Linked DNA regions of Caenorhabditis elegans. The protein of the gene in region 1 purifies or fractionates together with the protein of each later gene. This does not show direct contact. Each region holds a gene or a part of one and is shown on either strand. Other genes may lie near its edges. The genes, in order: aprt-1, marb-1, clec-137 and atic-1.

Region 1 (7,954 bases):
AATGCTAATTTTGGATGTTGTTCATGATGCACTTCATTTCGAATCATCCTAACGTAATTTAAACTCAAAGAAAAATCATAACACTCAGAATATGCTATGAAACGAATAACGGTAGAAGGTTATTGAATAGTCCCACTAGTTTCATTGAAATAGCTTTCATAAGTATTAGGAAATGCATTATTTTGTTCTTTCGATAGTGTTCGATGGTATTACTACAGAAATGTTCATTTTAAAGTTGTCTTCTACGATCGGTAAAAACTGACGATTAACGCGTTTGTTTACAATTGTTTTAATGTTTTAGTTTTAAAGTTTTAAAAACGATTAGGAGTTTTTCATTTTTATTTACACTCATTTTTCTCCTCTCAGCCCTCATTTATCCGACTTGGCGTGTTAAGTCATGTCTCGAATTTTTATAGGTTTTCTCTCTGTATGATTCCGTCTCGGCGACAGCGATACTTTCGCCCGAACTCACCGCCAGTGACATCATCTTCTTCCGGAGCAGGAAGCAGTCACCAGACTATGAATCCATCGAATATGAATGTTTTAGAGCAGGCCGAATTAGTTATCGATGGAGGTGATCCAGGTAATATTTACGAGTTTTATTTACCACCTTTGCAAACACAGCTTTTCGACTTTTTGCATGAGGTATATTAAATTCAAATTTTCCAGGGGATGAACAACAAGTTGCCCATGAAGAAATTGTAGACGACGGTTCGACTGAAATGGTTGTTGATCACCATCATCATCCACAACTTCGTGGTAATCCAATGCATCATCATCACTATGATAACCGTCAATCAGCTCCTGCTTATCAAGTTCCACAACAACAATCTCAATCAATTCGTAGAGGAGTTGGCCGTCCGATGGCTCCTCGTCCACAAAGTTACCCACATAATATGGATATGGTTCAGAAATTGCAAAATAAAAATGTCTATATGCCAGCTCAGCAGAGACCTCAGACAAGAATTTCTCCAGCCGGCGCGAGAATTGTCAGCTTTGCTGGAAGAAAACGAGATAATTCTGATGGGCTTCCTCCAGGTGTAAAGGTAATTTTTTTGGTCGAGATATTAAATTTATTAATATTCCTTTTCAGAAAATGAACATGCCCGCAGCTCGCCCACATCAGCAGCAAACTCAACAACAATCTCATCTGCAGCAAGGTCAACAATCACAGAAAAATCTGCAACCTGTCAAAGTAGTTCGTCTGGCTTCAAGTGTGGCTCGTGCAAATCCGACAGCATCCGAACATGCTCTTATCGAAATCGAGAATAATATCAAACAAACAATAGAAGATGCAAAAGTCGATACTGAGAGATTAAGAGAATTACAAGAAGCTGACTTCTCACAGGATGAATATCATCAATATCTTGGAATGTTGATTATGGATCTGGAAAGATCAAATGAGGCGAACTCGACTCTGACAACATATTATCGCGAACGACAACGACATGAAAAGACTATTTCGGAAGCCAGAGAAAATGCATTTTCAGCTAGAATTCGTCAGTTGGAGACTGAAAATCGAAAATTGAGGGATTCGATTCATGTGATGTATTATGGAAAGTTCAATGAGGCTGGAGGTCATAACAATATTTATCGAAATGATCATATGGTAATTTTCAGTTAAATTACATTTTATTAAATATGAATTACAATATGTTTTTTTACAACTTTCAAAATTGATAAAACAATAAAAATAAGATATCCCTTTTGCAAACATTTATTGGATTTCAGGGTCAAATGATGGTTGAAGAGCCCGAAGAGCATGTTGTTATTGAAGGACACGTGGGCAATAATCAAGAAGGAGTACGTTTTAAAAAAAAGTCTATTATACAAAAAAAAGAGCTTCAATGTTTTGAAATGCAGAATAAAATCTTGAACCTGTAAATTATTTTCTCAAAGCTATGTAAACGGAAAACCAATGACTGAGAACTGAAATTCCATTTTTATTACTAATTTATCTTAAAAGTACACCTTCTGGGGAAATGCAGTCGAAACTCTCCAAAAAACTTAACTGCTTTGTCATCGAGCAAATTTGGAAGAAAGTTTGAATTATTAATTTATAGTGAAATTACGAATTTAGTAAACATCTTGGTTTTTTTAAACTTATCAAAATGTTCGATTTTGTTTCTAAACAATAATAAAAAAGTTCGTAATAATAATAATAATTTATTTTAGGAAGAAGTTCCACAAGAGTGGATTGTCGAGGAGACTGTTGATGAACATCGAATGCATTTGGAAGGAATGGAAGCAGATGATCATATGGTTGAGGATCAACAACAACAGGATGAAGAACATGAAGATGTTAAAGATAAAAACTTGCTCGCTGGTGGAAGTGGAAGATCTGGATGAAATTTTTAACTTTTTATCTGGAAACCTGATTAATTTATTCGTTTCATCCTCTCTTTCATTCATCTATATTCTTCTGTTGTTAAATTATTCCTTTATGCCTACCGGAATCGCAAACTAATCAAAACAGACTAAACTTTACGAAACTACGGTCAAAAACTGTCACATTGCGTTCCAAATATTATTTATGTTTCCAATCCCAAATTTTGAAAATTAATTTACAAAATTCTCGGGTCTTATCGATTTCATCACTTTTCTGTTTAACTTTCCAATTTTTAAAATTTACAATTCTTTTTAATCTCACCTTAAGCTCCACAGGATCCCATTTTCATTCTTGATTATCAAATTAACATCTCTAGAAGGCAGGCCCTTCTTTCTTCCCACCCCCCCCCCCCCCCCCCCCACCTCTCTCATTATTCCCAGAACTAGTTTAAGAGCATTTTAAGCTACACTTTGAAATATCCAATACAAAATAAAGTTATAGTTTGAAATTTTTTATTCTGATGAATCTGTTGATATTTCCTGTTTAATACAGGTTCTGTACCTAAAAAGGATTACCGAAGATAGTAAATTCAAAATATTGTTTTGTAGAAAAATAAAATGACGGGAGGTTTAATTGTTGCCGGTTTGGGTCTCGCTGCAGTCGGATTTGGAGCTCGATATGTCCTTCGAAATCAGGCGCTTATTAAAAAAGGAATGGAGGCGATTCCAGTTGCTGGTGGAGCTGTTAGTGTTTATTTTTTGAAAGTTTTAATTTAAAAATGCCAAATTTCAGTTTAGCAACTATTATCGTGGAGGTTTCGATCAAAAGATGTCACGAGCCGAAGCAGCGAAAATTTTGGGCGTTGCGCCGTCAGCAAAACCGGCGAAAATTAAGGAAGCTCATAAAAAAGTCATGATTGTAAATCATCCAGATAGAGGTAATTAAAATTAATTTCTCTGAAATGAAATTTTAAATTAAAGTATCGTATTTTCGTTATCCGAAATGCAAAGTTGAAGGCGGGTCTCGCCCCACTTTATTCGGATTTTTCCTTTTTAAAAATTGCGAGCAAAATACTAAAAATATTTTACTTTTTAGTTTTAACCCCTCATACTTTAAAAAAAGTTAAGAAAAAAACCCTAATTCTTTTTCTCTTTTTTCCACTCATTTGCTCTTCTCACTCATGCTCAATGAAGCAGCAAATAATGAGTTACTCTTCCAAAATTAGCTTAGAGCTTCATTAAACATGAATTGCCAGATTTTAAAATGTTTTTCTCATTTTCAGGAGGATCTCCATATTTGGCTGCCAAAATCAACGAGGCCAAAGATTTGATGGAATCATCGAAAAGCTGATCGAAAAAAACTATTATTTCTTCTATTTTATGTTTTGTTTTCATTAGTGTGATGTAGAATCAATGAAATATCAGATTTAAACAGATTTTTTTAGAGTTCAAATGTGGATAGAAATACCAGATATAAATCTTCTTTTCGTGTTTTTTTAAAACTTTTCCCTCGGGACTTATTGAAAAGTCGGTTCTTTTCTTTATTTTTGAAAAAAAATTCAATAACTTTCGGTCATTTTTAAATTTCAGTAAAAAATTCCGATAAATCTGTAGTTCCTGTAATCTTTTACGATTTTTTTTTTCAATTTTCAAAAAAAAACACAATTTTTTTCAATTATTCCCTCAAAAAACAGCGAAAAATCTAACAGCATTCTTTTCCTTTTATCCTAAATAACATAATTCAAAATAAGAACTTTGAGCAGTTCAGACAATCTTATCTTAGATGTCTTATCAATTAATATTGATTTTTCATTCGTTATAATTTCAAATGATAAGCTATCAAATGTGTATCTTCTTGTTTGTAACCGACCAGTTACCATTTAAAAGATACTCAGATAGTCATACAAAAAACATTTATATAGGCGGTGCACTTTTCTCCATTTTTCTGAGTGGAAAAACGCGTAGTCACCACTTAAACGTCAACGGAACCTAATTTGATATCCGTGAGGGAGATGCTCCAGACTCCGCCCACTTCTTTTCTCTTCTCCCATTTTCTCTGCTTTCTCCCTTTCGTTTTTCATCTTTTATATGCAAATATATTCCTCCCTTCCACAATTTATAATGTGAACGTTGATATTTGGAATTAGAAAAACAAATTATTTTCAAAAGCCTACGCTTCTTCAATTAAAAATCACATGGCTCCTGAATAAGAATTGAATGAAAATTCATTAAAATAAAAATTCAATTTACCTCCAAATAATCTGTCTTTAAAATTTGTCACTTTGTCATTATTTTGATACCCTCTAATTTAATTGAACTCTAGTCGACATCATCGAAACCTTATTAAAAATTTATTATTTCTCTATTTTCATCTCAGCTGAGATCTCAGTTCAATATTTAATAATAAACATTTTTTGCAGACTGAAAATGACACTTCCACGTTTCGATCAAATCCGACCCAAGATCGAGCAACACATCCGGGAGGTGAAGGATTTCCCGAAGAAAGGCATTAATTTTCGGTATGCACAACACGTGTATTCAGCTCGACCAACGCCTCGAAAATTTTCAAAAAAGGCGGGAAAAAATATTTGAATTCGCCAAGAGGAATTTCACCGCAGCGCGTGCAAAAATGTCTGCATTTGCGCGTGACGGTGTTTGCACAAATTACACCGAATGGTCGAGCTGAAAACACGTGCACAACTTAAATTTTTATTTCATCGTAATTTCAAAAGATTTTGATATGCGTTCATATTTAGCACGAATTTATTCAGATGGGTCTCGGCGCAAAAAAAGTTTGTGGTAATTGTTTTGTAATTTTTCCTTGCATTTTTCACTTTTTTTCGCGTCAAGACCCATATGAATAAATTGATGTCCCTTTATGATGGCGTGCCAAAATCTTATGAAATTACGATAATTTTAAACAGTTTTAAATTATATCATTAATTGAAAAACGGGAAGAAGTTAGGATTTTTCAAAAAAGAAGGACAATAAAAGACACAAAAAGAGATAATTTTCGAAAAATCTAAATTTCTCTATATTTCAGTGATATAATGCCATTGTTCACAAATCCTCAACTCGTCAACGAGCTCTGTGTTGTCATTGCCGATCACGTTCGTCATACAGTTGGACACGTGGATTCAGTTGCTGGCTTAGAGGCACGGGGATTCCTATTCGGACCACAAGTTGCCATTCAGCTGGGTGTTCCATTTGTGCCAATCCGCAAGAAGGGAAAGCTCCCAGGAGCAACGATTGAAGCATCGTATGTGAAAGAATATGGAGAGGATCGGGTTGAAATTCAAGAAGGAGCAATTAAAAATGGGGATATTGTGTTCTTGATCGATGACTTGTTGGCTACTGGAGGCACTTTAAGAGTATGTAACGTTTTTAGAAAACATTTTAAAATTTTTTTTTGCAGGCTGCCACCGATCTAGTCGTGAAAGCTGGTGGAAAAGTCGGTGAGGCATTTGTTCTCATAGAACTGGCACCATTGAATGGTCGTTCCAAGCTTCCGGATGTTAATCTGACAACTCTCATCTCCTATGATAGCGCTTAATAACCATATCTGAAAATGACTGAAAGCTTCTCGATTGTTAATTCACTTGATCTAAATATAAATTGATTTTAATAAAAGTTAAAGTCTTTATCATTACAAACTTATTTCAATCTTTAAAAAAATGTGAAAGGCAAAAATAATAAAATCATGGAAAGAATGACAAGGGAGCAGCAGAGAACAGAGCAATCATTTGATAAATTATTAAAGAGAATGTTTTGTGGGCGATGAGAAATCATGATCAATTTGTATACCTCGTCATATGCAAGTGGGGGCTTGAAAAATTAGATGAACTGAAAAAAAAGGAAGACCGGAAATTTTGGGATTTTGAAACTCTTTCAAACGATTTTCAAGTCAATTTTTGAAAATTAACCAGAAATTCGTAATCAGGATTCAATACGTACTATAAGAACAGATAAAACAGATCAGTAGGAATACAAAAATTAAAGGATTTGTACATAGAAAATAATTGAGCTGAGCTTCAAAAAGAATGAACAATGACCGTAATGTAAAATGAAAGTGGGAGTTTTTTGTAGAAAAAGAAGTATAATTATGCAAAATTAATAATTCAAATTATCAAAAAAATACCAGATTATTATTACTTATCCATACTCGTCTCAAAATGCAAATTGTGCTGTAATTGTTGTAGATCATCAAGCATTGTGTCAAGGTTCTCAAGATGTGCGTTGAGATCTTCTGCCGAGTGTGAAGGCTGAAATAATTGACTTCATTTATAATAAAAATAGAACTATGCCATGTCCTCGTTTTTGAGAGAAAAGTCCGCGGTTTTTGAAAATTGGAAATTTTACGATAATTTTTTTGGAAGAAAATTTCAAATCATTTAATAATCCAGTTTTTTCTCGATATTTTTGGAGATATGTTTGAATAATTTACTGTCATTTTTAAATAGATTTTTTTCTAGATATCTATAGTTTACTATAGTTGTCCATAGATTCAAAAACTGACAATTTTCTATTTTATCCATAAAAATTAGAAATGTTTCAAATTTCAGTTCGTGGTAGGAAAAGTTTCAATTCAAAAAATTCAACTCACATTCATATTTGTGTTCATCTTCTCTCCATTCGATGAACCAGCTGTATTAGATTTAATGGGTGTGGTTTCTCTCATTTCCATACATTCTCCACTCTTTTTATCTGATTCTCCTGCATCAGAAGATGCAGAGCATGATGCAAATGGACTGTAGATATTTGCAACATTGACACGTGGTTGAGCAGTTGCTCTTCCAACTGGAACTTGCCGTCCACCGGCTGCAATAATAGTCGGTCGAGAAGATGATGATGCCGCAGAGTGTGGTGGAGGTGGTGTTGCTCCTGCCAATTGAGTGAATGACCGAAGAGCATTTGCAGCTGATGAATTTGGAGGTGTTCCACGTAGAGTACGGTATCCATCGATTACTGTAGGTGGACCAGAAGGTGGAGCTTGCATTGGGAGAGGCGGAGTCGAGGCGGATCCAATTGCAGATGATGAACCATAAGGACTTTCAAAGTCGATTCTTTGAATCGGCTGAAAAAATTCAAGAATTATTTTTTAAAACAATTAATTCAAAAATGACTCCAACCTGATGCCTTCCAGTTCCTGTATAAACCACTTGAGGTGTTCGTTGTCGTCCTTCAAGACTTTGTGAGCTTTGATGATAACTTCGTGTTAGAGTTCCTTGCCCTGAAAATTTCCGTTAAAAAAAAGGAAAAAATAAATGAAATTCTGTGTTCAAATTAGCTTTGTCAAAATGACTCGAAGACGTATTAAGGTTCATCGTTTTACTTTTGTTTTGAATAAACGACATATACCAAAATACGCCTTCTCCGTCCGTGTTAATGGAAAAAAACGTGTAAAGTAAAAACAAGGTAAATGAGAGGCTGGGAAATGGAAAAACAGCAACATTCACGTGAGTAAAAGTAAGAAAGTCTCTACATTGAAGATTCTGGACAAAACAGACATTCACGACACTTTGTAGATTGATATATTACTGGTAAGGATAGAAATATCAGGTTAATTGATATTTTGTTATTTTTTAAAGCAAACAACTAAAAATAAGCCAAGCAAAGCAATCCTTTT
Region 2 (7,532 bases), on another chromosome or scaffold:
CACGTACCGTATCTCAAAAAGGTTTGTGCTTAAGTTTTTTGGAACGGTTTTGTTTGATTTATTTTGAGTTGAAAGATTAACTAAATCAAGTTGATTATCAAATTTCTTGAATCAAAAATGTTTCAGTGCTTGGTTGAAGGGAGATTTGGATCCAGTTATTGATAGAGTCAACAGAAGAATTGAAGATTTCACCAATTTGAACCAGGCTACTTCAGAGGAGCTTCAGGTAAGCAAGAGCCCTGCAACATGGCTAAGGCCTTTAAGAAGGCACATAAATGCCTGCGTACCTGCCTCATGCCTTTATGATAGGCGTTAGATAGGCAGGCAGGCAGGTACGTGCTTGCCGACTTTGTGTTGAAACGGAAATGCGCACTATAGTTATATATTTTCCTTGTGAAATCCTCTCGGGCAATGAATTTACATTATTTTTTCGAAAGTTGCCAGTTTCTCGTAATTTTGAGAAAATGTAAAATGGGGATTAAATTATTTCATAGACTTTCTTGATAAACTTTTAATTTTCAAAGACAAAACTCGAAGAATTCTTGAAATTCTAAAAATCGAAAAATCGTTTAAAATTTCCATTTTTAGATATTTTCGTTTTTTTACAAAAAATTGAAAATTCCTTGTGTCCATTTTTGAGTTTTCTAGGCTAGTCACATCAGCAAAAAGGTCTAAAATGCCTTCAATGCCTACAGCCTAGAATATAGGCATTAGAGGATTCCCCAAGTTTTACTAAAAATATTAATTAAAGTTTATAATATTTTCAACAAAATTGTTGCTGTTTCAGGTAGCTAACTACGGTCTTGGAGGTCACTACGACCCACATTTCGACTTTGCCCGGGTAATAACAATTTTCAATTCTTTTTTATAATTTCAGATTGCAAATTACGGTCTCGGTGGTCACTATGAACCACATTACGACATGTCACTGGTTGGTTTACTGCCTTCCTGCTGACTTGTCTTGCTGCTAATTTTCAGAGAAAAACTGCCGAATCGTACGGTGGAAATGGTAATCGTATTGCCACTGTGTTATTCTATGTGAGTTTTCGATTCAATTTTAATTTTCCGTATTTTATAGAAAGAAGAGAAGAATGCATTCAAGACGCTCAATACTGGAAACCGAATTGCGACTGTTTTATTCTATGTGAGACATGTTTCATTTATAATTAATGGTTAATAAGATTCCATCACGAACTTTTTATTTGCATGAAAATTCTTTAGCTGTTATTGCATGAGGTGTGCTAATCCAAAAGTATGTGATGGAATCTTAACGTTTGAACTTTTAAATTTGTGATTTTAGCGCGTGGGAGCTGTGAGAAAACGGAAAATTTTTAAGGGGTCTTAAAATTTTACTGTTGATATTTAAAAATGAGGTTTTATAGTTTTTTGGCTCTATCGAACAATTTTTATTATTTAATCTAATAATTATCTTCTTTTTATGATTGTTTAGCTGAAACTGATGTATTTTCTAATGCCTACTTCTGGAAATTCGATAAATTCGAAACTGAAAATAACAATATCAAAATTTACTTTAAACTCAAAGAGCAAAAATCGTTCAAAATATAGTCAAACATTCACTCTCAAGATTTTGATTTTTTTGAAATTTTCAAACTTATTGGGTTCATAATTTTTACAAATAAATAGATGAAAAAATAGTAATATTTGAAAAGTTTACAAACTGATGTTTATATCCTTTTGGTACTGACCTAAATTACGAGAAAAGTGTGTGTGACGTCACATTTTACAGACGCGAAAACCCGACAGTTACTGTAGATCAAACACATTGTCAGATAACTAGAACGAACCCTCTGTTTCTCCTTGAACCAAACAATTTTTTTCAGATGAGTCAACCAGAACGCGGAGGAGCAACCGTCTTCAATCATCTTGGAACTGCTGTATTCCCATCGAAAAATGATGCTCTCTTCTGGTATAATCTTAGAGTAAGTGTTCATTTCTATTTTTCCTCGCAATTTGGAAATATTTCAGAGAGATGGAGAAGGAGATCTTCGTACCCGTCATGCTGCTTGTCCAGTTCTTCTAGGAGTTAAATGGGTCTCAAATAAATGGATTCACGAGAAAGGACAAGAATTCACAAGACCATGTGGATTGGAGGAGGAAGTTCAGGAGAACTTTATTGGAGATTTGTCCCCATATGCCAATGATCCATAGATTTGATTTTTTACTCTCTTTTTTGTTTTTTTTTTTAATTTCATTGTTGCTTACTGGTGTTTCACGGTTCCAATATTTTATTTGATCGCCAAAAAATGAAAGTGTTCTGGTTTTAAAGAATGAGTTTTTGATATTCTGAAATCTAAATTCAAAGCTGTTTATGCCTGCTTCATGCCTGCCTACATCAAACCTACATCAAACCAAGATTATAGTCATGTCTACTTCATGACTATAATCTTGCCTATCTATGTTCCTACCTATTCAAAATATAGTCCAACATTTAAAAATCCTGTGAAAAAATCACGGTTGTGGCTTGGATTAAAAATGATTCGATTCAAATCAGCATAAATATCTCCCTACGTGCCTGCCTGCCAACAACTCTAACAAACATGTAATTGTACCTGATACATACAGTTTTTCCTTGCCATACTTTATTAAGTTAATCAAAAATTATTTCAAAATTATATGGACAAATTAAATATTATTAACTTTAAAAAGACTTTTAATTTTATTATTTTCCTTATTTTCTTCTTCACTTCCTTGCAACGCACTCTTTAAGTCATTCTGGAAATTTGTTTTGTTGAACTCGATCTCGAATTTAAGCAGTTCAATCATTTCGTTTTTCTGAAATTATAGTTTTAAAATTTAATTCCATGTAAGAAATCCGAACCTCTTTAATAATCTTTCTGGCTTGTACCAAATCATCAACCAACTCATTTGCATCTTCCTCCGCAAATTCCAATGATTCCAGTTTTTGGCTCAATTCCTTTATCACCTCGTTTCGCTCTTTCAGTTTTCTCTGAAGTCCACCAATTTTTGCCACAAAATCTCTTTGATGCATTCGAATTTTGATTAAATGATTGCTGATTTTACTTCTCTCTATTTTCATCTCCTTCTGGTGCTCTTTAATCATTTCCTCACTAGACTCGCACATTAATTTTAGTTGGTAATGAGCCTGCAAACGTTGTATATAAAAAAGAATGTCAAGATGCCTGCCTACATGCCTGCCTACCACCTAGCTCTATACATTTTGGCATGCATTCAGGAATTTAGTGAACCTCTAGAAAGTAAAACTGGGAAAATTTCCAAAGAAAATTTAGTTAATTTTCACCAAATTTTCGAAAGTTTTTTTTTTTAAAGTCAAACATTTTCCAATAAAATATTTCGCATTTTTTTCAAAAAAAACACATTTTCCCAAAAAAAATTCGATCCGTTCTACTGTCTATTTTAAAATTTAATAAATCTTCTCAGCTTTAAACACCTCTTAATTTTTTATGAGGGGCTCCAATAAATAGCTTGAGGGGAACACGATTATTGGAATTTACTTTTGAAATTGAGAAATTTTCAGACTCTCGAGAATTTCATTGATAATGCTAATAAAATATTCAAAAATATAAAAAAAAACAACAAAATTTACCTTTGCCTTTTCCTCAACTATTTGCAACATTAACAGAGCTACAGTAACCGCGTACAGTAACCCGAATAGAATCGGGAAATTATCCATTGAAAGTGTCATATTCCCGTCTTGAAAGATATTAGTTAACCACGACATTATAAAATAAAAAGATTGTCTTATAAGATAAGTAACAAACGAATGAATGAGCCGGTCGTCTTAGTCAACGGGTCAAGTGTTTCAGCCGCGTTCGTGAATCAATAAGAGCTGGAATTGCCTCCTGGCATTAGTGACTGTAGTCCACACTTTCTACTGCCTAAATTATCCATACAGGGCAATGTGATCAATTGATCAATAGGTTATTAAATATAACTATTTTATGCAGTGCAGTGTTTCATCCTTTTGGGAAAATTCACGGAATCAACAGGTGAATTTATGTTTTTTAGGGTGTGAACACAAATTGTTAATGTTATAATTGTCCTGGAGAGCCTTTAAACATTTTACAATTAATATATTATAAATAATACGTAGAAAATCAGTATTTGAACAGGAAAGTAGACATTTTAAAAATTTGAAATTTGAAAAACCGCCACAAACTCAAGCAACGACACTCCGAGATTACGAATCGCGCGTTGTTTACCGTAAATTTACACTAATTTTTGTTCTCTGAAATTTTTTTTTAATTGAAAAGCCGTCCATTTATTTATCTTTTTTTGTCAAATCCTTGTGTTTTACGTGGATGTTTGCATTTGTTTTTTATTTATTTAATTTCGAATCACTCAACTTTTTATTGATTTCTGTTCCTCAGGTGATGGCTGCGCGTAAGCTGATCGCACGTATCAACCCAACGAACAGTGCTCTTTTCGTCTGTGATCTTCAAGAGAAGTTCGCGTAAGTTTTGAAAGAAACTAGTTTATGAGCAAAAATAATTTATTTAATTATTTTCAGGTCAAATATCAAATACTTCCCAGAAATCATTACAACTTCGCGTAGATTGATCGATGCTGCCAGAATCCTGAGTATTCCAACCATTGTTACTGAACAATATCCAAAGGGTCTCGGACACACAGTTCCAACTCTCAAAGAAGGTCTCGCCGAGAATACTCCGATCTTTGATAAGACGAAAGTAGATTTTCAGATTTTTGTTCATAATTCAGTCTTATTCCAAAAATTTCAGTTTTCCATGTGCATTCCTCCAACTGAAGACACTTTGAAGAAAGTTCAAAATGTGATCCTTGTCGGAATCGAAGCACACGTATGCGTTCTTCAAACTACATACGATCTTTTGGAACGTGGCTTGAACGTTCATGTCGTGGTGGACGCTGTCAGCAGCCGCAGTCACACTGATCGTCATTTCGCTTTCAAACAGATGGAACAAGCTGGAGCTATCTTGACAACTTCTGAAGCTACCATTCTCGGACTTGTCGGTGGATCGGATCATCCAAAGTTCAAGGAAGTTCAGAAGTTGATCCTTACTTCAGCCCCTGATACTGGCCTCGTCCCGTTGTCGAAGCTCTAAATGTTTTCCGTTTACGGCTTCTTTTTTTGCCATGTAGATTTGTGTTTAGTACCTCACTATGTGTAATTACAGCATTTAACCGGTTTTCGTCCCATAAATTATGGTGGTAATTTGAGTCTTTTTGCAAAACGTTTCTTTCATCGCATCTCCTTGCCACCGTTTGACCATCACATCATGTTTCAAAAGTGTGGGTAAACATTCCGAAATTCGCGGAAACGAAATGCGCTTTGAAAATTTCAAGTGGCTCACACAGTAGAGCCCGCTAGTCCATTGACCTCCAATGTTTGTAGTTTGCGAAAATGATGGTGACGATGGTGCAAAGAAAACTTTCAGTTTTTTTTTTCAGAAAAGTCAGGTTTGTACAACACACATGCCACCACGTGGCAATGAAAAAGGCAGAGGCAACAAATAAATTGGAAGCAGAGACAATAAAATGGGTGGGTGATCTGATCTGTTGTGACGAACAAAATGATGATGATTGGATTCGCGAGCTGTTGATGAAATATGCAGAAATGAATCGAGAAAAAGAGAAGAAAAATACCCAAATATTCAAACAGACAGACGAAAAAAATGTTTTCCTGATTCGAGGAACGTGTTTTCTAAGTGGAACGACGGCAAAATATGGGTTGGTCAGAACGAGAGAATGAAGAAGCACAAAGTGAATATAGTATGGGTGATGTGGAAGGGGGTATGCAAAATTGGAGAGAGAAATGGAACCCGCATCAATGTAATACAAATTGTGTGTGTGGTCAGGAATCATGATGGGAATCTAGTGGGGGAAATGAATTAAAAACTTGGACAAAAAAAACATCTAATCGATCGAAATCTGGAAAAAAGAAAATAACAACTGATCGGGATTGAAGACGAGTAAAAAGGGGTCGAATGATAGGAAGTATCAGGTGAAAGTATATGTTCGAGGTAAAAAAGTCGTTTCTTGTTATAAATTGGGGGAGAACGAGCTAGGATTGCAGGCATTCTAGAAGGCATCTTGAACTTATATAAATACGAAGGAGATTATTTACATCATTATATAAGTCTTTTGAAGACTATTAAAATAAGTTCGTTCAGAAGGCGAGACGTTGATCTGCCAGTCGATTATGTGGTTTGATGCTTCCATAATAGCGGAGTAGGAAGTTCCTTATCTGAAAAAAAAATTATATTTTTCAGAAATGCCAAAAAAACAAACCTGCCGCCGCGAAAACTGTCCTCCAGAATGACACGTTGGACATAAGAAAGGTGCTGGGAACTGCATTTTCGTGAATTGTGGATCTTCTGTCGAGTCACCATGCAACCGATTGTTGACAATATTATGAGCTCTCCAGAGATACGTCATCATATCGTGTGGATGACGAACTCGTCGTTCATTCAATGGGAACAGTGTCGTCGTCATATGCATGAAATGATTACGACAGTGTTCACATCCGAAATAGCTCTTCACCCATCCCTGAATTGTGCTCAGTGGTTTCATTGGATTCACATAGTCATCTTTGATTGTATCAATATATGTGTGAACAGTAAGAGCGTGGAACGTTGTCCATAGACCACATGTGTATCCACGATACATTGGAGATGATCCTTTACAGTGTTGCCATGTCGAATTGACTGGGAATGGGCTGGCGTAGACACGTTCCACACTTTCGAATTGTCGACGATATTCATCAGATGAGACAGAACCAATTGATTTGCGACCTTCGAGGAATTCGCGCATGTGTGTGAACACAAGACGAGCTCTCTCAGAATTACGAAGAATCTGAAAAATATTTAAATTTATTCTTGGAAATTATTTTCAATCAAAAGTTTACTCACCACAGACGTTGTTCTCTTCGCGCGCATTCTTCTGATGTCATTTTGGAAGGAAAGAACCGGGAAGTGCTGAAAAATGTCGAGATAAAATATTTTTTGTAAATTTTTATAGCATCCAAAGCCAGGGTGTTGGTTTTTCGATTTTTCACGAAAATAGGAATTTTCGTTTTTTCCAATATTTCGAAAAAATTTCGATTTTTCTGAAAATTGGAAAAATTATATCTTATGTTTTTTCTGATCAAAATAAACGAAATTCGATAAACTTTTTATTGTTTTGTTGAAAAAACTTTTTTTCAGAGAAAATCCTCAAACTATTAATAATTGAAAATTAAAAAATTTCGATTTTTCTGAAAATTGGGAAATCTGAAATTTTCGATTTTATGTTCAATTTTTGGATTTTCTTTGAAAACTATTAAAAAAATGTCGTTTTTCGATTTTTTTCTTTTAAAAAACCCGAAAAAAAAATCTCGATCTTGTCTAAATCTGTCTTCATCTAAAAAAATACGTACATTTGATAAAAGAGTCATAAACTCGTGCAAATTGGTGAAGTTATCGCCTCGGATTGCTCCTGGAACTCGGGTGACCTCGTCGAGAAGAGCCATACGCATTGCTTTGAGCATATCAGTCTCAGAAACATAATACATATCA
Region 3 (7,713 bases), on another chromosome or scaffold:
GTCTTCCAAACACCAAATCAAATGAATGAAATGCACAATAACCAGAAATAGCCGGATTGACACATAAACACCCGGTTGGCTGCTGCCGGGTTGAAACGAGTGATATGTATATGTGCCACTGTGCTTGGCGCCCATCTCCTCCTCTCCACCTTCCTTTTCCCTCCGGTAAACAAGACGGGGCCTGTACCGGAGACCCGGGACTAGTCCCCCTTTCTCTTTTTCTCTCATACCTTCCGCGCACCTGACAGTCACCGACCGGAACGTCGGCGGTCTCCATGGATCGTGTGATCTCTAAGTTGTTCGAGGCGCGGAAATCATTTTGTTCTCATGGATTCCGAGGACATCCGAGCCCTGGTGTGGTGAGAAAAAGAGAATGAAAGACAATCGGAACGCACTAGAATGGACATTCGGAGTTGTTTGTTGAACATGCTCCCTTTGTAATGAAAAAAAACAACAATTCAAACTATAATCGGGAGAGAGAGAGAGATAAACTCCCGCTTTGTAGGTCATCCATTAATGTGTACTTCTTAACTTTAAGCTAAACTTCAAGGGGAAAAGGAAACTCTTAGGTACATGAAATTCCAATATATTATTTTAAAGAACTCTTAACCATAAACAAATAGAACATTAAATTATAAGTAAGTTCACAGTTGACAGGTTTGTCAGAAAATTGATGACAAGCGAGATATGTGTGTAAGGTAGGCGTAGGTCAAAGACGGTCATTGTGTGCCTGAATAGAAGGCTCCCAATAACTATGATTTGTACAATACATTCCATTTTTAAAGGTTAACGTTTCTAATAATCGTTTTCCAAAAACTAGATAACTTTTGTCTTCAAAAAACAAATTTTGACTAGTTTTTCAGTAGGTAATTTAAGAAAAAACTGTAACAATCAAGGTTTATTCCCGTCCAAATTCAAAAGTTCAACGATTATCATGCAACATGGCCTTGTCCAAAAACTATGGTTTTTTTTATAATTTGTACTCAATGTATGTGTCATCAAGAGACAGTGTCTACTTTCCTTCCTTCAGATGGCCCGTCTCAAGATGATGTGAAGACTAAAAGTCAACCTCCCCTATATAGATCAAATTGTCTTCACTCGACATCTTTATTTCTCGACGACGATGAGAAGTGTTTTTCTGATTCTTATTGTTGCCTTATGCGGCGTTGTTGAAGCATCTAATGCAACAGAGAAAGAAGTTGTATGTCCGAAAGGATTCAAGTTGTATGAGAGGAAGCCGACGCAGAGGAATAAGTTCACGAAGAACTGGTGTATGAAGGTGGATTAAAGGAAATAATTTTTCAAAAGTTTAGTGGTTTATCGCGATCCCAAATTTCTGCCCGCTACTGAATTTAGAAATGAGACAAACTTAATTTTCAAATTAATTTTAATTTTTCAGGTAATAGAAAACGAGGATGTCTATGATCGACCTATCGCAAGATCAGTTTGCCTAGATTATGACGCAGTTATTACGAATGTCGAGAACCAAGAGGAGCTGGATGATATCAATGGTAAGTAGCTGCTCAATAAATAAGAGTATTGTTAATTAGAAAAATTATATGTAAAGTCCAACGGAACAATTTCCAGTTGACTAATATTTGCCTACAAGGTGACAGGCGCCTGCCTTTTGCATGCCCACTTACCTACTTTTCAATTGGCAGTTTAAATCTAATAGAAGGGTTTCGGTTGTGACGAAAATTTTTTTGTAGACATGCTGTTTTTCTACGTGGAATTTTTTCTAAATTTTACTGAAACTAAATACTTCAAATGACAAAAAAAGAAGACAGTAAGTAGGCCTGTAGGCAGACAAGTAGAATAGGGCCTACCCGCCCTTCTCGTCTCTTATTAAAAATACGATCGGCGTGATGCCATTTTACAAATTCTCGCAAGCTGAACAAACACCTGGAGGCAGCGATTAGCATTCGTACTATTTTGGAAAGCGAATTTTCTGGTTTTTTGAAAAATTTGGAAAATGTGAAAAAATAGAGCCGGCGGCTAAAACTTTTCTGAAAGTTATGTATTTACTAACATGCTTAAAGCCAATCACTGTTATCATTTATCAAACAAATTATGTAAATGCAACGTCATTGTTATTGAATGTAAATGCTAAAAGGCACAACAAAGCCGACAGAAACTGACAAACAACTTTTAGGCAAGTTAAAACTGAACACAAATTTCAGCTTTAATTCGAAAAAACAATAAACGAGTCGCAGTGGACGGAGTGTTCAATCCAAAATGCCGAGGTTTCAGCGACTGGCGAATGAGAAAGTTTGGAGGACTTTGCGCAAAAGAAAAAGAGGTTTTTGTTTCGAAAAGTGTGTTTCAAGTATCCCGATCGTTTTAGCTATTTATTCTGGAGGACGATCACACCGATCCAGCGTTCATTCTCACAAAGTGGTCTGGAGAACCGCCAACTTCATCAGACAAGTATCAGGAGAAGGGGGACTCTACGTAAGGAACCCAGTGGGATAAAAGCTTCATGTTCTAGTTTTCAGAGAAATTTTCACAATCGCTGAATGTCTATCTCTACATAATCTCCAGGCAATCAAGAATACTGGAAATTTGAAGGATTTTTTGTGAGTTTTTTTTTTGCAGGATTTTCAAACCCAAAACTAAAAAAATTTCAGGTGCGGCGAAGAACCAGACAAACAAGTCGGCGAGGTGCCATTCTTCGGAGTTCTGTGTGGATGTGCTCCAGTATAAAATTATTTAACTAGTGCCAAATGTATAAACAATTTTTGAATTTTTTGAAGATTTTTCAGAGAAATCTGTCCTCGAGGCACAATATAAATTGTTCTTACAATGTATGCCTAGTTTGAAAATGTATATCATGACTCGATTTTTTTTGTGTTATAAAAAATTTTCCCTCTAGAAAAAGTTGAAAAATAGGTAGAAAAATAAAATGCGTCATTTCCGCCCAGCCCCCGAGATACCGTATCATTTTGATGTATTCGGGGAATAATGGTTCCGCAGAAACGGAATCATTGAAGGGATGTACAGCTTTTTTATAGCTTTTGACTAGTACAAAAGCATACTGAAAGCTTCTTCTTGAACTCTTCATAACATGTTAGTTTTATTCTTACTATTCTTGGTTGTTCCGGCGGTTTCTGCAAAGGATCCAAGATGCCCAAAAAACTTTACTTTTGTCAAAAGAACACTAACTTTTAAGAATAATTTTACAAAGGGGTGGTGCTTGGGGGTACGTTATTGATAGAGACAGTACCCAGTTTTAAAATACACTTTCAAGATTTTCAATGGAACGGATGTGGGAAATCGTGACCGAGCCCGCTCAGTCTGTCTCTATCATAACGCTTCGCTGAGCAATCCAGAAAATTCACATGAACTTGAGATTGTTTCTGGTAAGTTGATCATGTTTTTTTTTAAAGACATGTCTTCAATTCAAAATCGCTAGGAAAAATATGCTTCTAAATGTGTAATTAATTTTTAGACGTTATTCGCGCACGGAACATTTCCCTCCCGATTGCACTCGACGGACAACTCTCTCCAAGATGCAAGGCCCTTATTTTCAGAGGCGAACAGAGCCAACAATATTTTGACCAAAGAACAGAGGAAGGAGATTGCAATATTAACAATCATTTGTTTGTATATGATGATATCAATACAGATACTTTATTTATCCGTTCCAAACTAGGTACTTCGGCTGGAACTAATGGAGGATACTCCAGTCAGGAGGACGGAGTAAAGTAAGTGTATGAAAATTTCTAGATTCAACGTCAAACAAGTCTAGAATTCAATTTACAGATTTCGTTTCACCAGAGATTGTAACGCATTAACAGATGCATACTATTACTTTTCTAATGGAACACATTTCTATGCGGTAGATGGACGAACTGAATTGCTCGGATGCTTTGGGGAAAAGGATAAGCAAAATAAACACGAATATAGTAGTGTTCTTTGTGGAAGATTCCCTCTCTGAGTTAATTGATCAGAAAAGACAGTTGTTAATAAATATTTTGGAGTTGTTGTTCGAATTCATCACTTGTGATTATATCAGAAAATACCAATTTTGCAACAAACATCAGTCGAGGATATGCATAATTTTCATAATAAGTATTTTTTGATAGCTAAAGATTGGAGCTAATCATATTTCAAAATTTACAGAGACAGGACTATTTTAAAAGTAAACTACCCTGTAACAAATCAAGAGTTTCGAAGCTTGAAATCAAAAAAAAACTTATTCTTGTAAATCATTTTATATTCTACCTCGGAAGCCGACAAAAGCTTGGTTTTAAAAAATCTAGCTTCAAAGTCTTGTTTTCAACCACAAATGTTTGTGTACATAAATTTTTGGATAGGTATCATAACAAGCAAGAGGGCCTTATGTTAGTCATAGGCTTGCACTCAGTTGCTCAATTTTGACGGCTAATAACTAGGTTGTGTTTTGTTTTACCAAAAATTATAAGCTGACAAAGAATGTGTTACAAATTTCTCTACAGTTTTGGTGTTAAATGTTTTTGATAAAAGGGCTGAAAATGAGGGTACTTTTGTTAGAATCTTTATTAGATCAGATATTTTTTTGTTTCAAAGCGCATGGTTTCAATATTCTTGACAACTTCTATCAACCTACGTGTTATATAAGAATTTCTTTGAATGAAATCATCCAACCTGATGAAGAAATATAATGCGTCGTTTCCGCTATCCAGCCCCGAGATACAGTATCATTTTGATGTATTCGGGGAATAATGGCTCCGCAGAATCGGAAACGCTACAGGGGGCGAACAACTGTTTTATAGCTTTTGACTAGTACAAAAGCATGCTGAAAGCCTTCTATGAAGTTCAGTATAAAATGTTAGTTCTATTCCTACTATTTTTGGCAGTCCCAGAATTTTCTGCGAAGGATCCAAGATGCCCGGGAAACTTTACGTATTTCAAGAGAACACCGACGGCAAAAAATAACTTTACAAAGGGATGGTGCTTGGGGGTAAGTTGTTCATATCAATGACACCTAAATAGTTTTAAAATGATATTTCAAGATTTTCAATGAAACGGATCTGGGAAATCGCGACCGAGCCCGTTCAGTATGTATCTATTACAATGCGTCGTTGAGTATTCCAGAAAATTCACACGAACTCGAAGTGATTTCTAGTAAGTTTTTGAGGATTTTTTTATTGCTGCATGCGGAAAAATGTAAAATTTCCAGAGACTGCTAGCTTGAGAAACATTTCCGTACCAATCGCTCTTGATGGACAACTCTCTCCAAGATGCAAATTCGCAATTTACAAAGGACAAGTAAAGGGTGCAAAACGATTTAATCAAACTTCTGAAGAAGGAATTTGCAATATTAAATATGAATTGTTCATATATGATGATATTAATACGGATACTTCATTCATTCGCACAAAGCTAGGTGTTTCGGCAGGATCAAACGTAAGAAGTGTACAAGCTGATGATGATATCGAGTAAGTTTTGAAAATCGACTTTCCTATTTGCATCCAACATTTCATTTTCAGGTATCGCAGTACAGCAGATTGTACCGTTTTGGAAAAAGGATCGTATCACTATTCTAATGGAACACTAAAAGATGGGCACACTAATTTGATGGATTGTATGGGACAGCTAGCTGGCTCCAAGAGGCTACCAGAAAAAAATGTCACCGCCGTTCTTTGTGGCCGATTGCCGTTCTAAGTAAATGTATTCTATCATTTCTGGAAAGATTAATTTTCAATATTTAATAAATATTATATTTCCGAAATCTTTCTGATATTTCTTATTACCTTAGCTGATTGAAAAGATAAGGTACACCCAATTTGTTTCCGCAAGTGAACTTCAGGTTATTCTTAGGCGACGAAAATCCCTGTGCGGGTTTACAATTAAATCATTTTCGCAACGAAACATTTCCTTTTACAGAGTTTTGACAAGTGTGTATACCATTTTTGTAAACTAAAAGTCAATTAATTCATCTTAACTTTCGTCTCGAACTTTTCGTTTTTAAGTTCCATCTTGTTGATAATACGGCCTAAAAATTGTAAAAAATTTCTCAAAGCTTCCTATTTTCTGTGTCAAGAAAAATCGGAGAGCTCTACATTATCTCTTTTTTGGCTTCCGGAAAACTTTTAGAGTAAATTTATAATGTATAATTTATGATAAACCTCAAGAAAATAGGTACAACAAGCATCTGCTACGTCCAAATCAAAATGTTTAGAAGAATAAATACTACGGTAGAGCATTTTGTGGGTGTTGTTGAACATCACGCTTTTGTTGAAACGATCAAATGCTGTCGGAAAATAATGGCTCCGCATGGCTTAGTCACAATTTTATCGATTTCAATAGGTACAAAACCCCGCCGAAACTTTTCAAAACTGACAGAAAAATGTTCGTTTTCTTTTTGCTATTTTTGACTGCGGTTTTCGCAAAGGATCCACAATGCCCAGAAGGGTTTTCTCATGTCAAGAGAGTCCCAACTGCAAGGAACAATCATACAAAGGACTGGTGTTTGGGCGTAAGTTCCAAGTTTTGGGTTTTGTGTTCATAATGCTTTATGACCATATTTCAGGTTTTCCAATTCAAGAACATGGGAAACCGAGACCGAGCTCGATCATTTTGCAGTTATGTGAACGCTTCATTGACCATTCCAGAAAATGAGCACGAGATTCAAGTGTTTTCTGGTAGGGATATTTTTCAATAAAAACATTTTCAGTGTTGTAATCTTCAAAAACTTTCAGAAATCGCCCGAGCTCATGGAATTGAAGCTCCTTATGCTGTTGACGGTCAAATTTCTCCAAAATGCAACGGTCGTATTAATAAAGTCGAAATCATACTTCGTCATCGATTCAACAGTACAGAAGAAAAAGGAGATTGTAATATCAAGAATAATCTATTTTTGTTCGATGATGTCAATAGTGACACTACATTCATGCTGAGCCATTACAAACGTCGACTTCCAGCTGCTTATATGGTTCATCAAGCTGACAATGGTCCAATGTAAATTAGACATAATTATCAAATAGCGTGAAATCATAAAAAATCAAATATTACAGATTCCGATTCGCCGCTGATTGCATTGTTCTAAAATCTGGAATTGTCAAGGCTAATGGCACAGAAACAAGAAAGAATTGGGGAAGTTTGGAGTTTTGTGTGGGAAAAAATGCAGTGCAGGCTTATACAGACGATGAAAAACCATATGGAAACGACGTGGAAGCAGTTTTGTGTGGAAGACATCCACTTTAATTGTTTTGAGAAACTTATAAGAAATGTGGGTCCTAGAAATGTGATGCACCTTGTCTTTAGTTTTGATTGAAAATTGTCAGCTGAAAAAATAAATTTCAATTTTTTCTATAGTTTTGTAACTTAGTATTAAAAAAATAACATTGAAATTCCCTACAAAACAGTGAAAACTGTAAAAAACAAAAGCGAATAAAAAAAATCTCGAGTCTCGTTTCCCCCATTATACATAAGTACATCAATCCCTATCCTTTCCAACATAGAAAAAAAACACGACACGGTCTATATGATGCGAATATTCGGTAATACGCGATTTAGAGATGATGGAGGAAATAGATGGGACTGGATTTTTTGTCAATTTTTTTTTACAGTGATGATGATTAACTTTTTATGGTTGGGAGGTTTTTCACTGTATTATACATATATATGAATGGTTAAGCAGGAAATGGGGGTTAAAGTAAGTGTGAAAGGAGAAGCCTAGTGACATCAGCAACAGAAGATGCCTGCCGGTGTGCCTTCAAGGCAATCTAG
Region 4 (9,584 bases), on another chromosome or scaffold:
CTGGATCGGAAAATTTCGTACATTGCGAACGTGAACTGTTCCGAATTTGTTCTTCCGCTTTACTTATTTTTTAGTTGGTATTGTTCGGCAGTGACATTGATGTCATATAGATTCCGCACATTATTTAATTATAAATCTTTCAACATTCTAGTAAATAGCTTCAGCCTTTCTTGATAACTTTTTCCCTCAGAAGGAGGAATTCTGGTCGACAATCCGAATTTTTTACAATTCGATAAGCCAAATTGTCAAAAATTTTGAGACAATTTTCAACTCCTCTGGTTTTTAAATAGAGATACCTAAGTCAAAAAAATCGCTCGCAGTGGAAAAATAGATTCTGAGAAAGAAAATTGATCGTATGACCCCATATAACTCGGGGCGAGGGGTCGTTTCCCAACATTTTGTTACGTAGACTACCACAAAAATTATTGAAATAAACTTCAGTATTTTGTTAATATTTTCCTAGAACCCATGATCTTACACTAAAAAAATATCCGCGGAAATTGACAATTTCATTACCTTGACTCTACTCTATCCACATATTTCTCTTCATATTGGAATATTAATTTCATTTTTTGGGAGTTGCTTGTCGCTTCAAAGCACATCTGAGCAACTAGTCTTTACTTCCAATCTTTCATTTTTACCTTCGTATTTCGAATTTATATCAGGAAATATTTCAGTTCATTTTTTAATAGTACAATTTCTAAAAAGTCTCCATGAATAAGACATCAACGACAAGTCCTAATGAATTGTCATTGGAATTTGTTGGTGTCGGTAAGTTATTATATTAGTTTATTTTAAAGTTTTAAAGTTTATTAGTAAGTTTATTAGTTTAAAAATGCTTAGATGATCGTCTCTCTAGGATGCAATTCAATAACAATTTCAAAAATTGTTCAAATATAAAATGGTTTTCAGGTGTTGTTGATTTCCCAGTATATTCTAATGAAGACTATTGGCAGCGAGAAGTTCCATATGCAATTTTCATTCTAATTTTTTGTACTTTCTTTATAATTCTTCAATTTTTGGTAATGCGTGTTATGATAACTGACAAGGATTTAAAAAAGTTATCTGCATTTCAGGTGAGTAATATAATTCATGATTTGTTTCTTTAGCCATTGCGAAATGTTCAGATAATGTTTATGATATCTTTCTTTGACACAATTCAATTATTTATACATCTAACTGCAGTATTCTACATTTTAAATTCTAAACCTCACTTTGATTTTCCCGATTATGTATGTCTTCGTTAGCAGATCTTATCCTGATTTTTTTTTATTTTCAGTTAATCGGAGCTGTGATGAATGCATCATGGGTCTCAATGCTCATTCTCAGCATATTTTTAAATATTAATCGGCTCATTTCAATTGTTTTTCATTTTCAATCCAACAAAATATTTAATTCTTTCAATATGAAAGTAGGTTATTAACATGATTTATCTTTTTTTCAATTCCGTCCTTTCAGATATATTTCACTATAGTTCTAATTGTATGGTGTATAGTTTGTTTTTTAAATGCTTTTGGATTCAGTAGAATGGTTTATTTATTACCTGCTTACACGTGGCACTATGCCGTGAGTACAACTGTGAGAAGTCCCACTTTATGTTTGGCGAAAGCTTCGCATATTGCCAAATGATAGTCAACTTTTCAATTTTATTTCCAGGCTTCAAATCCATTATCAGCTGTATTAAGGTCTGTAAGTGCTGATATATCTTTAATAGATGTCGTATTCTCATTATTTGCTCATTTGGTTATCTTCAGTTATATTTATTTTGTGAGTAAAACATACATATAATTTCGTTTCAAAGAAAATTGAAGAAAAAAACTTATCGAAAACTGTTTCTACAGTATTTCATGCAAAAAACTTTCAAGTACAATATCATCTACAGCTACCCCATGATTTTCGAATTAAATTTTCAATTCGTCAAATCTCAAAACGTTTTAGGTATATGAAAAAAATTTCACAGTAGTCGCAAACAAAGGGCAGATATTTGTATTAAGAATGTTTTGAAACTTTTCATTTCCCTTCAGAAGAGCTAATGTTTCATTATTTTTCAACATTTGTTGATTTTCAGAAAGCAGCATTATTGTCAAAGAAAGAATTAATATTGACAATTCAAGTATTATGTGTTTCTATATTTCATGTTATTGGGTATTTGACATGGGAATATCTACCAATTCCATGGGAATTACCAATTGGAGTGTTCATTGGACATGTTGTATGGATGATTTGGAATTCAATCAATTCAATGCTTTATGTATTAATTAATCCGTAAGTTTTAGAACTTTGGTTGACTGAAAACATTTTTAAAAAAAGTTGCAGTCGTATTCGTAACCTGGTATTAGCATCAATTGGAAAACAAACAGAAGTCAGTGGACGTACAATGTTTGTTGCTTCGCACGTATCAACAGTTCGACAATCCGGAGCTAAAATGTAGTCAGGTCTTCAAATAAAATATAACTTTTAGTTTTTAGAATTTAAGAAATAGAAAGATATCATTAGAAAAAATAATTATGTCTAGAAATAAAAACAATTTATTTCTTGTCATCGATTTCCAAACATTTATTTATAGGTCCATGAAATCTAGACACAGAAATCTTTTTACATGAAGCCTAATTTACTGCTAACAACTGAAATGAGAGGAAACAGATCCTCTCGATATTTTCAATTTTAAGGAATATTCTGCAAGTATAGGTGGACAGAGTAAAAAAGCTTTTGTCAAAGTAAAACATTGATAAACTGATAACACACAGAAACAAATAAAAACCGTCGTAAAACAGAGACACCATCACTTCATAATAAAAATGTTTGTGTTTTGTTATCAAGGGAAACTACCGATTGAATTTTTTTTTGAAATTTTGAAGATTTTCTGGCAAATCGAGAAAAAAAAATTAATGTACGTATATCTCCAATTCGAAGCTTTGATTTTATTATAAGAACAGAGAAACATTAGATTTTTATTGGTTTTTGAAACACCAACACAGATTTCAAAGTTATATAATATTTGCGATATTTAAAATCGATTTCAAAGTTCTTTTTATTTTCTACTTCTGATTTTTTTTCGATTATTAATTCTTTCATCTACAAGCAATAAAAACACAATAATATTTGCCTCGTTATCAAATTTATCTTATCAATTGAAAAATTGAGCAACACTGTTCAATTTGACCAGTCTAAAAGACATTTTTCATTGAAAAAGTTGCCAATTTCTGAGTGTATTTTTCCAAAAATGTTCAAGATTTCAAAGTTCACAAAATAATACTTATAAATGCATAAACTCATGCTCTCCTCATCCATCGTTTTCCTGTGATTATCTCAAAAGTTTCTATTTTTAGTGTTTTTTGGTTCCTTGTTCATTTTTTATTTTGTGTGATTTTTACGTCTCGAATAAAAAATATTAAACAAAATGTTAGAAATTGAATTTTACAAGACTATCGACTTGATACAATACATCGACGAATTGTGTGAAATGACCGACGGAAAATCACTTGGTAAGTAATTTCATTTTGAATTTTTTTAAATTAATTTTTCAAGCAATCCCGGAATAAATATAATTCATTTCTATTCTTTAAAATTATTTATTGAACTAGACATTCCACCAGGTCGAGGCGTTACGGGGGCACCTCTTCCCCGCCTCTAACCTCACCCACCTCGCTCCTTGATTTGGAAAACCCTTTTTTGTGTATTTAACAAATGAAAACTACTACAATAATGAACTAAAATAAACTGCAAGTATAAAGCTAAACATTTTTAATTTTCAGCCATTATATCGGTCTCTGACAAGACAGGACTTATTCCTCTTGCTCATGGACTTGTATCTGCTGGCTTAACACTTATTGCGTCCGGTGGAACAGCGAAAGCGATCAGAGATCAAGGAATTGATGTTCATGATGTGGCAGATGTAACAAAGTTTCCTGAGATGCTTGGTGGAAGAGTTAAAACTCTGCATCCTGCCGTTCATGGAGGAATCTTGGCAAGAGATACGGAAAGTGATCGAAAGGATCTAGAGGTGAGATAGCTTATTTTCTTTTTTTTTTGAATTTTTTTTATTTGTAAACTAACTTGTTTGTTGTCGAACCGTTTTCAACTGAAACTTGCAAATTATATTAAGTGGAAATAAATAAATTTGCAACATTTGTGCAAAACAATTCTGACAAAAGATCGGATTTTGTAGAACTTCCGGGAATCTCACAAAATGAACTTTGTACTGGCTTGAAAGATTTCACCATTACTTAGTTTAATCGAATTCATGATTGAATAGAATGAAGTGAAGAAAAAAAACCAAAAAAAGAAGGGCTAACGGGTGACAAAAAGTTGGTCCTTTCGTCAGATGAAGAAGGCTTATCTCGTGAAAATAAAGAGTTGAGAAGGAGACAAAAAGAAGATTAGAAGACAATTTTTCGTCCTCTTTTTCTTCATTTTGTCGTCACGACTTCATTCAAATTTCAATTCTTATTTCGAATTATATAATTTTTTTTTAAATAAACATTATATCTCGCTTTTGTTTAAAAAAAAAGTTAGTCTAATCTGAAACTTTGACAATTGTTTGTTAATTTTTTGAAGTTGGATTACAATTTTTTGGAAAACGGGTTAGAGAGTTTTTTCGGATTTTTTTGAATCAATTTTTTGTTACTTGCGCATTTCGCAACCTATGTCTTGCCTCTTGTTGGGATTAAAGTGCCAGCCCTGATGGCTAGAACACTTTGAGACAAAGTTGAGATATGTCACCTTTAAAATTAAATTATTAATTAGAAACCGAAAAAAAATTTCATAAAGTTAGCGTTCAGTTGAACGGAGAACGGCAAAATATTAGTCAAAAAACTTTGTTTGCCGGAAAATTGTATTACAGTCATATTGCATTTCAGGATAAACATTGAATCTCTGAGATAATCAAAAAATAATACTCCAGGAACATTATATTATTTGAAATTCTATTGTGTATTTTTAGAAATATTTTATCAATTCAGAGTGAAAATAAGATTTTTGTGAGATAATCTGTAAACCTTCAACTTTCGTCATCAACCATAGAGTAAAATTAAACTTGGAACATCCATAAAAATTGGCGTAAAAATCAACGAACACAACTGATTGGGGTGTTGTTATGATGCACCGAGAGCAAGCCTACGTGTCAGTTTCTACCGCCCGTGTCTATTCAATTACCTTCTCTTTCTATTTTCAATTGAATTTGTTTCATCTTCTTTTCCTTCCTTGTATTTTTTGGTTATTTTCTTTCTTCCAGAAACACAACATTTCATTCGTCTCAGTGGTGGTTTGCAACTTGTATCCATTCAAAAAAACTGTTCAATCCAAGGATTGCTCTGTAGAAGAAGCTGTTGAGAACATTGACATTGGTTCGTTTATTTCTTTCTTTTTTTGAGTTTATTCATCCGGAAAATTGACTTTGTTTTATGTTGCCATCTTTCTTTTTCCCCTTGTTCCTTTTGATTTCAATTTATGCACTTGACTTATTTTGCTCCTTTCGTGACTTCTAACCCTAAACCAAACATCAACATTTTTTCACAGGAACAGCTTAAATTGAAATCAGAAAATCATTTTAGCAGAACTTCATAACCAAAACATACGGCCTAGATTAAAAAGTTGAATTTTTTCAAATTTAAAGTGTTCATCCTGTTTTTAAATAAGTTACCAAATATTATAGTTCATTGGAATAGCATATAATTTTAAGGGGTGTAATTCTACTTCAAGCTAATAATTCAATCAAGTTAAAACGGATGTTCGTCAATGAAATAGACCATTCTTGCATTTTCAAAGACTTACAATGTTCAATTGAAAATAATTTAAACATTATCAAAATATATTTTTTGTATAAAAAATAATATTTCGGTCGCCTTCCATTATTATGATAGGGGGAAAATTGTCACTTTTGGATGAAAATAAAAATTCAAGATTTTTGATAAGTTTTACTATGTTATGTAATTCGTCATTTTAGCATTAGTGAATGATTTAATAATTGGCAATATTATCACATACAATACTATGATCAAGTAGTTTTATTTGAGCTAATTGAAATATCAATTTCGTGAAATTGGGCACGTTCAGGTTCTGAAAAATCGTTCTCTACTTATCACTGTGAAAACATGTATGTATTGTTCTTCTCCCTTCCTAAATCCTTTCTGACACCAAAACAATTATATTTTCTTCTTGTTCGTCTTTTTTAGTTCCTCAAAATATAAATTCAATTAACACGGAAGCTGGAGAATTCACAAAAAAAGACAATACAACCAACAAAAAACTGAGAAAATAATAATTCGTTTACACTTTCATTCTATACTTCCTCTCAATAAGTTCATATAATCTGTGATCATCTTCAGAAAATTCTTTCAGAAACATTTAAAGGAGCAAATCTTACGAATGCATCATTTCGTAAAGCTTGAGCTCTAGTTTTTGGTATCATTGAAATTTCCATATTATAACTTCTAATCGAATGGTTTTTTTAATATTAAAAAAAGGATAAGGTTATAGACATTTTATGATCTTAGCACAAAGTACAAAAAAGTGGAAATATTCGTTCAATTGTACCCATTGTATTTGTTTTTCCAACCGTTTCCTACATTTTTATCCCATTAAAAGGGCTTTTGTTTCATGAATCTTTCACCTTTTTTCCTGTTTTTCCGGGTATGTAAAACCCGCCCAGATTTTTTCTAGAATCTATATCACAATATAAACTCATATTCTTAAAATGTTGTTGTGTCCGGTTTTATTATTAATTGTACAGTAGGACATCAGAGAGTAAATCTATAAACCTTCAATTGTCCCCGTGGGTCCATTTTCATTGTAGCTATAAAAGAGAATGAAACGTTCGATTTCAACTACATTCTCAATTTCAGGAGGAGTCACGCTTCTTCGAGCAGCTGCCAAGAATCACGAACGTGTCAGTGTGATCTGTGATCCTGCTGACTACGATCATATCATTTCGGAGGTTAGTTTTAGATGGTTAATAAATCATCACAACCGATGAAAGCTTCAATAAGGCCAGTAAATAAATATGTGGGAAATAATACTAAGCTACTAAATTACAATGATTAAACATTGTTATCAGATATTTATATGATTTTTTTTCTACAGTTCACTTGCCAGTTTTTTAATTTTATTGAACATATTTTGAGCCAAAAATTTACTTGTTTAGAGATTATTCGGAACCAGATAACAATTTCGGATGTTTCCAAAAAGTTTCATGATTTTGAGAACAACTGGAAAACCTTGGATGTGGTGAAAAACGTTCAGATTTCACTTCTCGCTCCAAACTTTACGAATTTTAAAACAAAAACTATGTTCATTTATTGCAATAAGCCAAAGTCATGCAATCTGGTTTTTGAAAAGAAAAAAATTTAATTGCAACGCCGAAAAAATAGTACCTGCTCGTCCAGTATTAGTAAAAGCGAATGCTGGACGTCCTATTAATTCCGGTTTGACATCCCTAACTAAACAAATTTCAGAACTATTTTTTTCAAGTTAATTGTGATTTTCTGTCACTACATTTTTTAAATGCACATTACGTAGGCTCTAAAATGAGCACAGACATTTCCTTGTTCATCGATTCGTTCTTCAAACGATGTTAAAGCTTCTTGATCACAGCAATCCACAAATAAAAACAAGGATCCTTCATATAACTTATCACCACGCTTTTCTTGTATTCTCTTTTTAACCCGAAAAGCCAAAAAAAGGGAGATGAAGCTAAAAGAATGAATGAAATATTTTGACACGCTCCGCAAGTTCCTTGAGGGAGCCATTTGTCGTCGAAGACCCTTACCAACCCACTTTTTGGTTAAAAAAAGAAAGAAATATCTCAAGAGAACACCAACTCTTTATAAATGATCCAAAACTGGGTGGACGGCGACGTCATAAGTTTTTTCGTGTTAAAGCCTTTTTTTCTATTTTCCTATTTTTGTTACTTTACCACGTTTTTCTGTTCCTGTTTTTAAAAAGTGGAAATTGCTCTCTTGAGAGTTTTGCAGTGGTTCCAGTTCTAGAAACTCATGATTTTCTTGTCTTTTAAACATTCCACGAAAAATTTTTGAGGTTTTCTAAGAAGTCGGTCGAATAATCAATTCCAATCTTTTTTTTTAATATTAAATTAAAAATAATTTATAAACAGATCTCAAAAATATTCTTAGATCACTCAGATATTTTCACAGGTGTTTCTAAAATTGCCATACAACCTATATATCTAAACAATCAGCGTCAACGTCTAAAATTAAATTTTACAGTTAAAATCCGGAGGAACTACCCGCGAACGTCGCCAACTTCTAGCCTTAAAGGTGAGTCAATTCAATTTTTGGTAAACCAAAGTTTCAGATGAATGTCACCCAAATCTTTTTCTCAGTCTTTTTCTCTCAATGAGACCTTAGTCTCATTCTATCTGTCCTAATTTTTCAAAATGATGAGTGAAAATGGGACACAACCCAAAAGCGGTAATAAACTTTGTGCAGAAAGATTTTATGGAGCCCCACGATGGCCAAGAGAAACTAGTTGACGCGCATTCATTCTTTTTTTTCAGCTTTTACATTTTTTTATTTTGAGACATTGTTTAAATTTACATTTGATTTTCTTTAAATCTTCGACTCGATGATTATCATATTTACTAAGTTTTTAAGTTTCTATTTCTCGAGAAATCCATATAAAAATGAGAATAGAGAAAAATTCTACTGGTTATTGTGTTCTACACTAATTTATCATTCTGTTTTCAAAGGTTATATTTGTTGAAGTTTACAGCAATATTCGTTAATCAACAAACACTGGCGAAGAGACCTCACAAAAGGCCTTATAAAAAAATTTTCCAGAAAGTGATAACTTTAATAAGAAGTTTGACAAGCGTCGCCCAAGTCTTGCTCAAGTTTCACCTTGGGTTTTTTTTGAATTTGAATTTGTGAAGTTCAAACTTGGAATTTAAAATTATATGTCAATCTCTTGAACTACTTTTACTTAAAAAATAAAATCTCTGATTAAGAAGTTGGCATACCTTTCAAGTAAGACTTTTCTGAATCAAATATGATCCAACTTTTACTAGTCTTTCATACAAACTTTATCAATGAAATGATTTTAAAACATGGATGTTGGATCATATTTTGGTATGGTATGTGCAACGCCTTGCTCAAGTTTTGCCAACTAAGTAACCAATTTTCAAAACATTGGTGGTAATTACCGTAAGTAAACCGCTCCAAAAATGTGCCTTTAAAAAAGTTCTCAAGTTGATAGAGCCTGAAAACTACCAACAAAAAGAAATTTCTACTTAATCATTAACTGCATTCTGATCAAAGCTGTTCAACACACTGCTAACGTCATTACTTCTCCCACATTCTACACAATTTCATCAATTATTCCAAAAAGTTCACCACGCCTCTCACAGGAGCTTACCTAACCTTTTTCTAGTCACAATCCGAGCGGTTCCTAGCATTCTTTGTTGTTTTTCTTTTTTTTTTCTATTTTCCAAATATTTCGAGTTCCTTGAATCTGAGGAGATGTGCGTTGGCGGAGGTTCTGAAGTTTTTTTTTTTTTTAAGTAAATAAAAGAATATTAAATCTTTGAACTACTCGATGCTCTCGTCTGAAGATCTACCATCTTGAAACAA

The links.
Region 2: the proteins of aprt-1 (region 1) and marb-1 fractionate together in Caenorhabditis elegans (co-fractionation; one large-scale study listed by BioGRID). This does not show direct contact.
Region 3: the proteins of aprt-1 (region 1) and clec-137 fractionate together in Caenorhabditis elegans (co-fractionation; one large-scale study listed by BioGRID). This does not show direct contact.
Region 4: the proteins of aprt-1 (region 1) and atic-1 fractionate together in Caenorhabditis elegans (co-fractionation; one large-scale study listed by BioGRID). This does not show direct contact.

What each region holds. Positions count from the first base shown.
Region 1 is NC_003279.8:5,673,890-5,681,843, forward strand, and holds aprt-1 (Adenine phosphoribosyltransferase), read left to right. Parts: upstream 1-4,748; 5' UTR 4,749-4,755; coding exon 4,756-4,847; intron 4,848-5,371; coding exon 5,372-5,699; intron 5,700-5,743; coding exon 5,744-5,881; 3' UTR 5,882-5,973; downstream 5,974-7,954. Other genes in the region: T19B4.5 (uncharacterized protein), read left to right, coding at 520-583, 670-1,046, 1,094-1,609, 1,732-1,803, 2,176-2,349; dnj-21 (Mitochondrial import inner membrane translocase subunit TIM14), read left to right, coding at 2,947-3,072, 3,122-3,266, 3,612-3,679; Netrin receptor unc-40, read right to left, coding at 6,477-6,590, 6,932-7,402, 7,458-7,558.
Region 2 is NC_003282.8:12,205,849-12,213,380, reverse strand, and holds marb-1 (Isochorismatase domain-containing protein 1), read left to right. Parts: upstream 1-4,370; 5' UTR 4,371-4,373; coding exon 4,374-4,453; intron 4,454-4,510; coding exon 4,511-4,688; intron 4,689-4,739; coding exon 4,740-5,081; 3' UTR 5,082-5,193; downstream 5,194-7,532. Other genes in the region: phy-2 (Prolyl 4-hydroxylase subunit alpha-2), read left to right, coding at 1-21, 127-226, 788-841, 1,079-1,144, 1,842-1,940, 1,987-2,169; F35G2.3 (uncharacterized protein), read right to left, coding at 2,644-2,793, 2,840-3,124, 3,587-3,673; F35G2.1 (Sulfhydryl oxidase), read right to left, coding at 6,146-6,223, 6,268-6,831, 6,888-6,953, 7,394-7,532.
Region 3 is NC_003280.10:4,615,152-4,622,864, reverse strand, and holds clec-137 (C-type LECtin), read left to right. Parts: upstream 1-4,774; coding exon 4,775-4,942; intron 4,943-4,994; coding exon 4,995-5,106; intron 5,107-5,161; coding exon 5,162-5,420; intron 5,421-5,471; coding exon 5,472-5,646; 3' UTR 5,647-5,713; downstream 5,714-7,713. Other genes in the region: clec-139 (C-type lectin domain-containing protein), read left to right, coding at 1,124-1,279, 1,400-1,511, 2,181-2,299, 2,345-2,451, 2,496-2,576, 2,628-2,703; clec-138 (C-type LECtin), read left to right, coding at 3,065-3,199, 3,248-3,359, 3,449-3,704, 3,763-3,937; clec-136 (C-type lectin domain-containing protein), read left to right, coding at 6,332-6,460, 6,515-6,626, 6,684-6,942, 6,999-7,188.
Region 4 is NC_003282.8:7,878,604-7,888,187, forward strand, and holds the start of atic-1 (Bifunctional purine biosynthesis protein ATIC), read left to right. Parts: upstream 1-3,424; 5' UTR 3,425-3,463; coding exon 3,464-3,485; intron 3,486-3,755; coding exon 3,756-4,003; intron 4,004-5,233; coding exon 5,234-5,345; intron 5,346-6,842; coding exon 6,843-6,934; exon of another isoform or gene 6,935-6,967; intron 6,968-8,222; coding exon 8,223-8,273; intron 8,274-9,584. Other genes in the region: srt-73 (Serpentine Receptor, class T), read left to right, coding at 714-771, 913-1,076, 1,128-1,232, 1,280-1,411, 1,459-1,566, 1,657-1,767, 2,069-2,265, 2,317-2,431.